Yarrowia lipolytica: one gene and its partners. The protein of the gene in region 3 binds, or shares a complex with, the protein of the main gene of each other region. Links are inferred from orthologs where the notes say so. Each region holds a gene or a part of one and is shown on either strand. Other genes may lie near its edges. The genes, in order: YALI1_A05491g, YALI1_F09803g, YALI1_E33268g and YALI1_D17410g.

What was found.
Region 1: YALI1_E33268g (region 3) and YALI1_A05491g share a complex: the UniProt entries of both Saccharomyces cerevisiae proteins name them as parts of the U4/U6-U5 tri-snRNP complex. The link is inferred for Yarrowia lipolytica from reciprocal best matches to the Saccharomyces cerevisiae genes PRP4 and SMX3.
Region 2: YALI1_E33268g (region 3) and YALI1_F09803g share a complex: the UniProt entries of both Saccharomyces cerevisiae proteins name them as parts of the U4/U6-U5 tri-snRNP complex. The link is inferred for Yarrowia lipolytica from reciprocal best matches to the Saccharomyces cerevisiae genes PRP4 and SMD2.
Region 4: YALI1_E33268g (region 3) and YALI1_D17410g share a complex: the UniProt entries of both Saccharomyces cerevisiae proteins name them as parts of the U4/U6-U5 tri-snRNP complex. The link is inferred for Yarrowia lipolytica from reciprocal best matches to the Saccharomyces cerevisiae genes PRP4 and SMB1.

Annotation. Positions count from the first base shown.
Region 1 is NC_090770.1:548,338-551,729, forward strand, and holds YALI1_A05491g (uncharacterized protein), read right to left. Parts: upstream 1,549-3,392; coding exon 1,546-1,548; intron 858-1,545; coding exon 549-857; downstream 1-548. UniProt on the Saccharomyces cerevisiae protein: Plays a role in pre-mRNA splicing as a core component of the spliceosomal U1, U2, U4 and U5 small nuclear ribonucleoproteins (snRNPs), the building blocks of the spliceosome.
Region 2 is NC_090775.1:978,441-982,047, reverse strand, and holds YALI1_F09803g (uncharacterized protein), read right to left. Parts: upstream 1,667-3,607; coding exon 1,653-1,666; intron 966-1,652; coding exon 632-965; downstream 1-631. Other genes in the region: YALI1_F09833g (uncharacterized protein), read left to right, coding at 1-379; YALI1_F09802g (uncharacterized protein), read left to right, coding at 1,832-2,926; YALI1_F09788g (uncharacterized protein), read left to right, coding at 3,229-3,607. UniProt on the Saccharomyces cerevisiae protein: Plays a role in pre-mRNA splicing as a core component of the spliceosomal U1, U2, U4 and U5 small nuclear ribonucleoproteins (snRNPs), the building blocks of the spliceosome.
Region 3 is NC_090774.1:3,324,749-3,328,428, forward strand, and holds YALI1_E33268g (uncharacterized protein), read right to left. Parts: upstream 2,042-3,680; coding exon 683-2,041; downstream 1-682. Other genes in the region: YALI1_E33234g (uncharacterized protein), read left to right, coding at 1-534; YALI1_E33278g (uncharacterized protein), read left to right, coding at 3,049-3,221, 3,268-3,295. UniProt on the Saccharomyces cerevisiae protein: Involved in RNA splicing. Is required for the association of U4/U6 snRNP with U5 snRNP in an early step of spliceosome assembly.
Region 4 is NC_090773.1:1,739,171-1,742,259, reverse strand, and holds YALI1_D17410g (uncharacterized protein), read right to left. Parts: upstream 1,218-3,089; coding exon 672-1,217; downstream 1-671. UniProt on the Saccharomyces cerevisiae protein: Plays a role in pre-mRNA splicing as a core component of the spliceosomal U1, U2, U4 and U5 small nuclear ribonucleoproteins (snRNPs), the building blocks of the spliceosome.

The DNA of each region.
Region 1 (3,392 bases), on a different chromosome or scaffold from region 3:
GTACTTAATGGTAATGGTCAGATCGACAGCTCAAGGCCTTTTGGTAATCTTGGAGCTCGACGGGTTGTCGTCCTCCGACTTGATGGCGATATCGGAAGGACCGTTCTCGTTGTCCTTGACATTGTAGCCGTGTTCATCGTGTACTCGAAAAGAAGATAGATAAAGGTTGATGGGGATCTTCAGGGAGGATAGATGTATTCGATGCCGAGAATAGTTCGTCCGTGATGGCCTTCCTGTTGTTTGAGCCGATTGTCATAAGTGTTTGAATACACGAGCAGGATCGAGATGAATGACTGAACACACTTGCCGCAGTGGAAGATGAAGATGCCTCCCAAAGAGTGTGACTTGATGGCACTTGTACTGTACTGGTTGCTGGTATCATGTAGATATAGTAAGAACCATGGGCTTCTCACCTTCTCCTGAGTTTTTTGTAAACCAGCAGAAATCAGCTCACAATATATAGCAAACATATGTCGGCGAACAGACTACGGAGATACTCTACAACCATTGCGTTACATTCTATTATACAATACATCCCGTTCTTTCTTTTAAGCCATCTCAACGTCCTCCTTGACCTCTTCGGTCACCTCTGCGGTTGCGCTCTTGGTCTCCTCCTTTACCCCGTTCTCTCCGATCCACAGTACGTTGTTGCATCTGATGAAAACGTCGCCTAGCTCGCCCTTGTTCTCCTGGTCGACATACTCCACTGCATCCTCCAGCTGCAGGTTCATATAACTGTCGACGGAAACAAGTGTGCCCTGGTACTCGGTCTTGCCCCACTTGAGGTGGACAATGACGGACTTGCCTGTGAGTTCTTGCAGAAACGGTTTGGGGTTGGTGGGATTGAAAGGGGTTGACTGGGTTAGTAATGATAGTAGAGGAGATGATGTGCGTGGCGACGACAGATGATTGTGGGCGAATCAGTTGTGAAGCGGAGGTTAACTAAGCATGGTTGAGGAGAGCTAGACCACACATGTCACTAGTGTATATGCGGTTCACCTCGTTCGAGCGAGACAAGAGCTTGCCAAGGAGTCAGCTGCAAATTGGACCATTTCCAGTGCCTCACTTTCCCCTCATTCACGGTTGTAGAAAAACGACATTCCATTGCTGTCACACCACACAAACACAAACAACATAAAAATTGCATGACTTTCACGGCGGACTCTTGATATGGGGTTTCTCGGAAAAGGCTTTGCGTAGCAGACAATATCAAGCCTAGACGCAGCAGTAGTGTCACCGTGTCGTCCTTCCATTCTTGTAGATGTTGAGTTGAATCCAACTACAAAACGAGAGATCAGAGACACAAGACCACAAATACTTGCAGTCCATACCTCGGTATCCATAACCACTCCAATACCCCGCTAGGTACGCCACTGGTCCAGCTCTTCAAACAGCATTCCTGTCTTGACAGCATCAGACCTCGTCAGTATATGGTCCCCTCTCACACCCCGTCCCTCTCACACCCCGTCATTGTGTCTGCCTGACTACCAATAACGCATATCCATCATCTGTAGCATTTCCACTGCTCAAAAAATTCATACTCACCATCCTTGTTGTGGTAAAATGCTTGTTGTAGAAGTGGTGATGATGGCCGTGATCTGAGGGTCTACACACTGATACTGCAAAATAAGGTTTCCTGAATTTTGAAGAAAAAAAATAATTGCGAATTCTGTGGATCGAACACAGGACCTCCAGATTTCAAGACTGAGAATTACTTCAGTCTGGCGCTCTCCCAACTGAGCTAAATCCGCCGCGATTTCGATATTTTTGGATCAATCTCAGCAGTCAGCATTGTCGAATTATGTAATCATGATTGCTGATATATTTACCGGTCAATAGATGAAACAAGAAGAATACGTGAACAACCATACACGAATGCCATGCGCTCTTCTGGACAACTGAATCCAGATCCGATTTGCAGGTATAACAGATGTACTCAAGTAGCTGATGTATTTCCCCAGCATGAAAAAAAAAAAGAAAAAAGGATAACATAAAGTCCTCTGTTCCCTGTATTCTAATATATCTTTCTGCACGGTTACGACAGTGTCCATACCTTCAATATGGCCACCATTTTTTTATATTCTACTTTTTTTATTTTTTATTCTAATGATTCCTTTCTACTGCGGCTGAGTCATCAGTCTGCTTAGTCAGAGGTCTGGTTATAAAACGGGAATATCTCCAGGTCCCTTGGCCCAGTTGGTTAAGGCGTCGTGCTAATAAGAAATAGCCACTTTGCAACGCGAAGATCAGCAGTTCGATCCTGCTAGGGACCATTCCTTTTTGCTCCTTTCAGAACCGCAGATGGTCAGTCGCAAGCGCTTCCTGTCCTGATGTTGCTATCTCATTCTCTTCTAAATGGTTGTGAGAAGAGAATGTTATCGGATCGGACCCGCTGTGTTTGCAAGCAATGTACAAATTTCCATGTGGGGTTTCATTGAAGTCTTGATAAAACCCGAGAAAGAAGACAATGGCCCATTCCAAAGCAGTCAATGGCGTCTATTTTGCTACTTGGAGAACCGATAGCCCCCACACGCATTTCACGGTTGGCTCCCCCGCGTTTCTCGTCGACGACGGAAAGGTCCGAATCTAGTGCTAGCGTCCAGGGTATGAGCATGGCTCCCATGTCCGGTTGGATATATGGAATTGCTGCTTACTAAAAGGAAGTGTGTTTATGAGCGATGAATGGCCTTTCGGGACCGGAACTTCCAGATATTGCTGGTAACTGCTAATCGACACAGCTCTCGTTCACGCTAATGAGTGGTGTAATCTCGTGAGTTAGGTAGTAAATAGCAGTACAGTACATCTTGAAGTTGTCGAACTGGTGAAATTTGTACCTTTTGGCGACCAGTTGCCACACTCTCCTAGGTCGAACGAGAAAGCTCGGGTCGATAGATGGGTTGTAGTTCGATCTCTTAAAACCCGTTTCGTGAATTACTCTGAATTCTCCAACTATCGGATCAGAGCCTGGGCCTATTTGAGCCACTTCATGTGTATCGTATGTGTGTACATTGTAGTCATCAATTCATCCGCAAGGATCGCGGTTGTTCTCCAAGTACGGGTGCGGACTGGACTCGTATCACACCGAAGGACAGAGTGGTGGGTATGTTTAACAGTTCAGTGCAACGTGAAGGACTTTCAAGGACGACTCTACTAATTTACAACTCTACAACTCAAGAACTCAAGAACTACACAACGACAATTCACCGACAATTCAACGACCCGGCTCATAAAAAACAATCCAACCACTTGATAACAACTCAATCAATCCAAGGGACATATAAAAGTGCACAGTACATACAGTACTGTACATAGTGTACGCAATTTAGCCGTATCCGCAGTAGATTATGGTAAGTACCGTAGTCGTAGTACGTATATACTACCAAAACACCTCA
Region 2 (3,607 bases), on a different chromosome or scaffold from region 3:
TAAGCATGTCAATCTCTATGTCGGTCAGGTGGTGCATCATACTCGTCTGGATCTCTATGGCATTGTCGTTTCGTGGTTTGTGAATTCCGAAACAGCTTATGAAGAAACAGCTCAGATTCCCAACCGAGAGATCGACGTGGGCATGGAGGAGTCAGAGGCATACTACCAGGTGGTGGTCGATGGAGTTGGGGAAAAGAGGGTGTTTGCAGAGTCCAATCTGGTGGTTGTGGACGAGACTTCAGGGTTGGACATCATGGACACATTCTCGCATCTCCATGGACTGTGTCTCATGTTCAGGGGATGGAATAAGGAGGAGTATCGCTTTGAGATGACCGAGGTAATGAAGAGGTGTTATCCGGGCGATGCAAAACACTTCTGAGGAGTGCGATGAAGAGTGCAATTGACGGCAACCCTTCCCTATTACCACCACTATCAAGAGTCTCATTGACCAAGTAGTAGACCAACCAGAGCCGCTTAAAATGGTTACGGGACTAACGTATATATGCCTACTGCCTATTTATTTTATTCAATGCGCGATGCTAATACAGCGGTGGTGGATGTCCATTTTACAGCCACATCTACAAGTACCCCCTCCTTCAAATGCATAAATAATTACTATACAACCTCCCTTTCATGCAGAAACGACGAGAATGACGGTGTCGCCTCGCAGAAACATTTTGCTGATGAACCGATCCTTGGTGACGGTCTTGCCGGGCTTGCCGCTGGCGGTTTTCGTTTTTTCCGTCCACATCTCCTTCACGTTCTCCAGCACCATGTTGGAGTGCCGGTCAAACGCCTTGACTCGGGCCAGCAGCTTTTTGTTGTTTCGGCACGATATCAGCACCTGTGTGTGGTTCTGTACTGCCCGCTGCAGCAGCGACAGGGGGCCATGTGAGAACTCGTACTCCTCGAGCTTTTGGAGCTCCACGTCGGTGAGAGTGGACTTGTCCTTGTTTAGGAGTTCACTGGGTTAGTATAAGACGGGTGTGAGGATCGCAGGTCTGGTAGACAACAGTAGAAGATGCATTGTGCGCCTGAGGATATGTCTGGTCTGTCTGTATCGGACGTCAGGCACAATCAAGGATGATGAATAGAGCCAAGATTAGGCATGTTGAACAATGGCGAAACTAGGGAGACGGTGGTATAACTGTCCCCCATATATGTCTGTGTGACCGCCAGTCAAGCATCCTGCTGTTTGCTGATGTTTGTACCATTCATCTTGCTTATTGTTTCATGCTCGTGTGTCATGAATCGTGAGACAATCCGCAGTGAACGTTACAACCAAGATACCGTGCTCACAGTGCCGTTCGCGAAGTGCCATGTTAGGGATGTCGTTCGGAGTGGTAGGAGTGATTGCGGGCGTGCGTCTTGGGCAGTCATGCTTTCATCTGACTGTTACATGAGACTATTAACCTAGTAAAGAAGTTGATTAAGGCATTCACAGCTTCTCAAAAAGTCAATCCCTTCACTTAACGCTGTCACAACTCTCCGTTCGGGTCCAAACAATAACAGTGTCTGCTTGTCGCACACCGTTCATTCTTGGGTTCCACAAATCACTTCACAATCGCATCATCCATCACGTATTCCAGCCATCATTTGGTCCGTCTCGTTTGATCATCCTCCCCAAATCCCGCTTTTCTCGTTATACTCACGCTGGGTTGTCCATCTGTGCTGTTTTTATGTGGTTTTGCGTGGTGTAAAGTGGTGATGTACACACGGTGATAGGATTTCATGCATAGTGAAGGAGTGATGATTTTTGCGTTCGGCAGAATTTAAAGTTTATGCAGTCATGTGACCAGATTCCAAAATAACTGAGTCTGATCCAGCCCTCATGAGAAGAAGCCAGCGAGTACCACACACAGACACAAAGACACCAAGACCGACACTGCAATTTGACTGCCTCTCTGTCACATCTCATGTCCTGATTTGCCACCGTTCTGCTCATGCACCTCACCGTATCTCAACACACATCTTACACGCACCCTCATATCAACACACACACAACATGAAGTTCACGGCATCGACGTCTTATAGAGTGGGCAAACGACGGGCCAAGGAGCCGCCTCTAATGCCCGGCCAGGCGGCGTTCATCAACCAGCTCGAAAAACAAAAGGCCGACTACCTGAAGGCAAACCAACAGGAGAAGCTGCCAGTGACGTCTCTCAAGAGCGATCTCAAGTGGAAGAACCAGGAGAAGCAGGACAGTCTGGGAGACGACATTGTGCAGGTGGTGAGAGAGATTCTGGATAACATGTACGAGGAGATTCCAATCGGAAAGGCGTACACAGCTCCTACTTATGAAGCTCGTCAGAACGTGCCTCCTCTAGTCAAGATGACCCATGTGCACGCATACAGCCTGAGAGAGCCTACGTTGGTCTTGAGACGGGTGAACGACGCCGTCGAGGCAGGACTACTGCGAAAAGTGGCAGTCAATAACGTTGATGAAGGCGTGCTTCTAATGGAGGCAGACAAGTTCTACAAGCTGCTGGATCAGAGCATACAAGAGTGCAAGGTGGCAAATCAGAAGAAGGCTCTGGAGGAATTCAAGATCCTTTTATTGTCCCATCCAAGTCGGGTGGAGTTTGGCTTCGATGAACTTCCCAATGCTTCTACTCTCGTCAAGAGCGGGTTTCTGACCATGAATCCTCAAGAGGCTCAAATGTACAATGTCTGTGTGCCTAACGTGGGTGTGTTTCTGAAACTGGGTGCCTCTGCACGAACATGGTTTATAAACATGCTCAAAAAGCAGTCGTACCAGGAAATGTTAGAGGAGCAGATGGAGAAGAAGTGGAGTGCTAATAGCAACCGCTGGAAGGGCTTCAAGGGCGTTTCTTTCGAATGGATTCTGAAGGATCTCTATGGAGGCTACCACTGTGAATGTTTCAGTACCCCTGTGGGAAGAGGTTGGAAGTTGACCGGAAAGTAGAGAGCCCCCGGTATGTATCTATTTATTGCATTGTTTTTTTGTTGTTTATTGCTTATTGCTTATCAAGTGAATTGGATGGGGGAAAATCGGAAGAATGGGTAGTATTATGACATACTACAAGCAGACAGAGAGAGGGGTATTTTGAACCAGATTACAGGTTGTTTATCACCAATTAATGGCTACTCTCGTAGTTTGGCATTTCTACAAATTTTAGACGGAAATTATATAAATCTGGTGTTGTGCATATTTCATGCATCATGCCACGCGTGTCTTGATTTCTTGTGACTTCAGTTCCACACTTCATGACGACACAAAAGGGCTTATTGCAACGCGTCCAGCTGTATCGAAAGCGCGTGGCTGCTCTTGAAGAGGAGATACGCAAGCTAGAAAGCTCTCAGAGTGCCGAAAACGACGCTCAGGAGCTCGTACAGCAGCTGCTCACCAGCAACAACGACAAGATAGATACTCAGCAACTGGAAGGAGAAATTGGAGCCCAGCTGAACAAGGAAATCACCTCGAATCGCCAATTACAGACGGCTTTCCATACCCTGAAATTGTCGATTGGCGACTCCTACTGGACGGGTGAAAGTCACCATGTTTCCATCATTCACGTTTCAGGACACTCATTTCAATGCCGAGTTGTGCTGACCAAAAGCATGGAGAAGGTCACCGGACTGCGAG
Region 3 (3,680 bases):
AAGATCGAACGAGGAGAATCAGATGCGGTTCGAAAAGAGGAGGCAGTTGTTCGATTGCAGGATGAGGTTGCTTCTCTGAAGGCTATTTTGGCTTCTGGAGAGGACGCAGACATCAAAACCAAACAGCAGGAGGAGATTCAGGCGCTGAAGACGAGCCTGCAAAAGGCCAATGCTACTGCTGATGCTCGGTCCAATGAGAATGACTACATGCGTTCCGAATACCAAAAGGCATCCGAGAGCGCGTCCGAGGCGTTGGCGAAGGTGGGATTGCTTACAACCGAGCTGGCTGAGGCCAACCAGCGTGCCGATGGTGAGTTTTCTGCCCTCAGAAAGCTCACATTCGACGAAGAGCGAGAAATTCGGGATTCGGAGATTGCAGAGCTCAAGGTTAAGGTGGAGAACTTGGAGGAGCAGCTCAAGAGACAGAGCGAGGCAGCTCCCAAGACATCACGTGCGAGGTACGGTGTGAGATCGAGCTCGGTTCCTAGACGAGCTCTTTCTCCTGCCGATGGACCTAATACGCAGTCAGAGTAGACGGATGACGAATGATGAAATATATTATGTATTATAGGAGGTTTAATTAATTACTGACGGATTGAGTGGTTCTATTTTTACTTACAAGTACTTGTAGTTTGAATGCAATATATTACCGATACGGTATGTGTTCCTACCCCTTCAACGCCTACTCCTTGCACCACAACTTCACTGTTCGATCCCAGCCACAGGTGGCGAAGTACTCGTTTCCAGGTCCCAAATCCATGCCCATGATTCGGTCTTGCGTCTTCCACCTTTTAGCCAGGGTCCACGAATCGGCATTCCAGATGTTAAAGTCGCCATCGTATCCCGTAGATGCGAGAAATGAGCCCGACTTGTCAAACTGAACACTCGACACAATCTTTGTATGTGCAGGGATTGTGTGGGAACATTTTTGAGCACGCAGATCCCATATTCTGACAGATCCGTCAGCAGATCCAGATGCAAGATAGAACCCGTTACCAGACCATCCCAGACTGTATATCTCTCGGATATGGCCTTCCAGAGTCTGAATACTTCGTCCAGATCGCATATCCCACACTCTGCCTACTGCATCCAAGCCAGCAGAGGCTACTAGAGCTCCATCCGGGTGGAAGGCCACAGAGTGGACACCCTTAGAGTGTCCTTCTTGAGACAACAGCTTGGTACCGCTCTCAATGTCCCACAGAGCCCAGGTGTAGTCATAGGACGCGGTAGCAGCCCACTGCCCGCTTGGATGAACGTCTAGACCTGCGATACGGCCCTTGTGGGCTTCAGACACCGTTCTGTATGCAGTATGTTCGTTGCCTTCTGTGCTGGAATCCCAGAACAGCAGCTTTCCCTCTCCACATCCACTCAGCAAGATATTACGTGCCCATTTCAAAGCACTTACTTTATCCACGTGCCCTCTCAACACAGCCTTGGTATTCAGATTCGGTACATCCATTAGCTTGATCTCGCCGTTCCACGATGATGCAGCCAGTATAGAGTCGCTTCCAAAAGCCACGGCCCCTGCTGGACGTGTGGAAACGAACTGTGATCCCAGAAGCTGATACTGCTCTATAGGGGCCATCTTATCTCGTCGTAGGTTAACTGTCTCCACCAGGGACAATTCCGACTGTTGCTTTTGTGTCGTGAGTCGGTCCCTTGCTCTCAAGATACTGTCGTTTGTTATCTGCCTCCTTGCATCAAGCAACTCTTCACTTCCTGGCGTAAAAAACTCGTCGTCGTCCATAGAAACGTCAGAATCGCTCTCTTCGTCCTGCAGACCTTCCCGATCAAACTCGTCCACCATTAGCTGACCCAGACGGGTCCGTCGATCAGCTTTGTCTTCTGCGAAAAGAGTAATGGGCTCATTCAACGATCGTAGTTTCGCTCTAACATCCTTATCGTCTGTAGGAACATGCAGTTTTTTGAGAATATCAGCTCGACGTTGTTTTTCCAACAGCTGACGGGCCGCAACGGCCTCTTCCCGAACTGAAGAAGAGTCCACCGTCGTCTTGATCGACTCCAGATCCACAAGTTCCATGTTGGTGATGAAGACAATTAGGTTGGGAGGTGCAGAATTGATACATTTGATTACTAAAGCGATATGGAGTGCTAAAGCAGGATTATGCAATGAGTGAAAGGCCCGAATAAACTATTGTAAGGTCAGGGTTGTTCAGATTTGCAGCTAGAGAGCAAGAAATATCGGCCACTTATTAACCACAGGTTATGAGTTTCTTGCAGCTCCTGCCTGTTCGATCCCCATAACTGTGGATATTATTCACTACTTGTAGCTCTGTTTAGATAATAGCTGATGAAGATGGTGGCGATATTTACAGAAAAATCGACTTTGGAAAAAACAACAACACGCAGGCGACTCCACATGCTGCTTCGATATACTGACCTCCGCCTACCTTCCCTTCACATGAATGATAAAAAACTCGTTCGGAGTTTAGCTCTAAAAGCGAAAGTGCGGAGAATGTGGGAACAGGATACAACTATAGAATGATAAAGTGATAGAAAAAGAGCTACTGAAACGAATAATGCGGGCATAGAAATAGCTTCAGAGCCTCACGTAACTTGTGTTTAGTTTGGCCTCTCCTAATACCTCAATCATCGCTCGCTATTAGCTCTCAGATGCCAATAATAATAAGACGCAGTAGATCGCCTAAGCAAGTTTAAACGGAATGTGTTGAGGCTATTTCAGTGTGGAGGAGTTATAAAGTGCAAAGAAGGGGGAGGAAGGATGTTTGAGTTGCCGGAAGGCATTCAATATATAGGAAATTCTGTTAAGAAAGAATCTCTTCCAAGCCCCAACCGTTGGCGCCCATCAATGGTGTGTTTAATAAACCCCGCTGACAACCGCATCCATGCATTCCCCGGAGTTAATATCTCACCTCCTGATATCTAGATGCAGCTTCGAAAGCTAAAGTGGCTACATTCACTACAGACCACAGGCAGTAAGCATCCGACACACAAGTGCACCTGTCTATAACCCCCACAATTTCTTCTCTTGTTGCACACCAACACCAACACCACAGAAACACAACAATGGCGATCCCCCACTTGGAGTGTCTGCAGAAATGCGTCCACGAGCTCCATGCCCTGTTGCATCAGCACTACCACGAGTTCCAGGCTTCTCCGGTCGCTTACCTTCATTCGAAGCACGACTGCGTGAGGGCTGAGGTAATTGAGCATTTCCAGAATGCCACTACCTATGAAAAGTGAGAATAAGCGAAGGATGAGACTGTTTGAGTACTACTAACCCAGATTTCGAGATGCGGTATTTATTGTGTGAGTATACACGGTCCCATTGAGAATCAAAACGACACAAGTAAAAGGCGATCTTACAGAGATACCATTGACGCCATGACACTCACGACGTTTTACCCATGAGATCTTGGAGCAATTATTCACAGAGGCTTCTCTTGGCCGTACATCCGACCGTCCGACCGGGAGCACACGGACATGATATCAGTCATCATATGTTAGCTACGACATACAATTAACAGCTACTCGCTGTTCATGTGATTTGATCTGGAAACGATGAGCTAGAGCAACCCAGCCATGTATATACTAACTCAGCGTCATTCTCACAGCCCTTGGCAACTTCCTTTCTTTTATTCACACCATCTTTGCTGATGGACTTCAAAACACATTCCGTTTCCATGCCAGAAAAGTGA
Region 4 (3,089 bases), on a different chromosome or scaffold from region 3:
CGGCTTACTAAGCATATAGCTTTAATGAATCATTAGAATTAAAACAAAAAAAAAAAAAAAAAACATTATAAAAAACGAAAACGGAAACGGAAACAAACTGAAGATTTTAGAGGAATGTAAGCACTGCTTTGAGTAGTTCCATGTCACAACAGATATTATTAATATACTAGCATTTCTGACAATCACTGTTATCGTCCCATCAGATTTGCAAAAGAATGTATAACCGAGCTATATGACTGACTTCAGAGTTCATCGTAAGGAAGTCTAGAGTCGTACTTGCTCGTTTGTAGCTGTCATTTCCATCTTTATCTTGCGCACAATGGGTATCACAGGCTCAGAGGAATAGTAAGAGCTCACGTCGGTGGTGGAGTAGTCCTGTCACTTGTACAGTGCTCCACCGTTTCGTATCAGAAGATAGTCCAATATACACGTCCATTCCCTATTATGCTAATTATATTATATACCTTTTTCCAGCCATGAGTGAGTGCGCCATTGTCCCCCATCTCATCTTTGCTCCCGGTTCTTTCTATGCCGTATCTCCAAAACTAAACACTCTGTTCGGGGCTGTTCTTGAGTGCTCTTGAGGCTGTGTAATCCTGTGTTTCGGACGTTAGTCACCGAACATGACAGTCCGCGTGGTTTCACAGTTCTGCCCAGACGTGTGTATGCGTCTACGCCCGTCCAAATCCAGGAGGAGCCTGGAACCCGGGAGGAGCTCTTCCTCCAGGCGCACTTCGCACGGGACCTCCCAATCCCGGTCCTCCAGCTCCTCTGGGACCTGTGGGGATGGCCCGGTTGATGCCCTTGGCAGACCCGGATCCGGGTGTCAGAGCGGTGTTGCCCAGTCGAGCTGTAGGATCTGTGGGAGGAGGAGCCTCGACAGACACAGAAACCACAGTCTCGCCTCGTAGAATGACCAACCCCAAAGTCCGTTTCTCCTCAGTGATGGACACGGAAGAAGCGTCGCCATTCTCGATCTGGATAGTCTTTTTTGCCTCCAGCAGCGACTTTTTCGTTGCCCGGAACTCCTCGCAGTCACTTAGAACAAGATTCATGTACCGGTCGAACGCCAGCATCTGTCCCACCATCTGCTTGCCATCCACAGTCGTCACCCGGAGCCTGTAGTTGACCAGATCGGCCATTTTTGTCTTGTTTGGTACCTGTGTTAGCAAAACGCTGGAGCTGCTCGTCCCATCGAGCGTTTTGAGATTAATCATGTAACACTTTTGGTCACGTGATGTAGATCTTCAAGTGATGTCGGTTGCCACATGATGGCTCTTTCCAATCATACTCACAATCATCTTGTGTGACGGTGTGTGTGTGTGTGTGTGTGTGTGTGTGTACAGTAGTGCAATGTCTCGTTGGTGATGCACAACTGGAGGATCAACTTTGTGTGCAGATTGTCATGCAGTAGGGTAACTGGGTATGGCGGCCGAAGTGGACAAAAAAGCGGTTGATTTTTGTGCATTAAAAAAAATGGGAATTTCGAGTTGTTTCTTGGTCCTCTTTTTTTTTTCCTTTTTTTTCCTTTTTTTATTTTTTTCTTTTGTTAATTTATTTATTTCTCCATTTCTTATTTGGTTGCTGCTGTTGAAGAAGAGGTTGGAGAGGTATACCTTTGCCTTAGTCGAACGTCCAGAGATGGAATTATTGTTGGACAATAGGGAGACCTGAAAATGTAGAAATGATGGGCTTGAGTGGGGTTTCTATTGGTGTAATTTTCATGTCTAGCGAATAGCTCGTTTGTCATCAAATCAGAGACTATGTATTGTCCCTAGTAATCGAGGTGTGATTACATAATATCAAAATAATCAGCTTGAGTAGACTACCCATTAGTGTAGTCTTAGTCAGCAAATCGGAGATTGTTTGAAAGATTATTAATGATAATCAAAAATATATGTTTTAATAAAAAATGATGATATAATGAAGAGAGACTCGCACCTTCGTTGGACTACGACTAACCTACAAGTAGCTACAAGTACTTTCCTTTCAGTATATCCCTGGTATCTCTTTGTCAAGTATCAAAATAATCCCCTCGAATCGCTTTATCCATCTCTATCCAACTGATGTTACTTGTTAGTCATCAAGCGGTGATATCACGTCAGTCATCAACGGCAACATGTTGTAGTCATTATTAATTGATTAAATATACAGTGAGCAAAGTGTTCTCTAGGCTGGTTTGTGGTTGACCATGTCGTATCTTTGACATTCAGTCACTTGTCGGACACAATTAGTTGGCCTCCTTGGTCAGCTGGTCGCCGTTGACAATCACCTTCTCCTGGGCGATCTTCTTGAGGTCTCGCTTTCCAAGGTGCTCGATGTTCTTGAGCTTGTCGCCGTTGACGATGGCGTTGACCGGGGCAGGGGCAGGGGCAGGAGCAGCAAGAGCCAGGGTGGAGAGAGCAGCAATGAGAGTGGTGGAGAGTCGCATGGTGGATGTGGCAGAAACGAACGTTGGTTGGAACTAACAAAGACGAAAGACGAAAGACGGAGACGCCTCCCCGCTTATATATATATACCGCGTCAGAGCCAGGGTTAGAGTTGAATATGAACGCTTGGCTCCTGCACGTCATCCCTTGGAGTATGTAGATGCAGGGGGAAGGCGGCGGGATCGAGGAGAGGGCCAAACGCGGGACTGGGGCTATCACGTGACGAAAGGAAGCAACGACACTGTTGCTTGTAGTTGTTAATGACGTGATCAACGACTTTTTCCCTGCTTGCCACTGCGAATAAGCGCCTCTCTGGCCCACATCCCTTGTGTTTACAATCTATTGTTAGCATTCTTCCTTTCAACTTTATCACAGAGTTGGGGCGGGAGCTAGACTCCGTTGCTGGGGGTGAAAAGACGTGTTTTTCGTGTCGCACGGACCGCGACTCGGTTTTCGCCCCGTCCAGATTGCTTAGATGCCAGCCTTTGTTTCTATATCATCCGCTAAACCCCATAGATAGCCGCAGCAAGCAGTATCTCAGCTCTTGGCACCTACGATAATGCACGTCATACTTGTAAACAATGAGCGCATAGTCCGAACACACACAGGGATAAGGTGTCAGCCAATTGAAAGTGGTAGGAGGTCCGGCGAGCCCGCGAG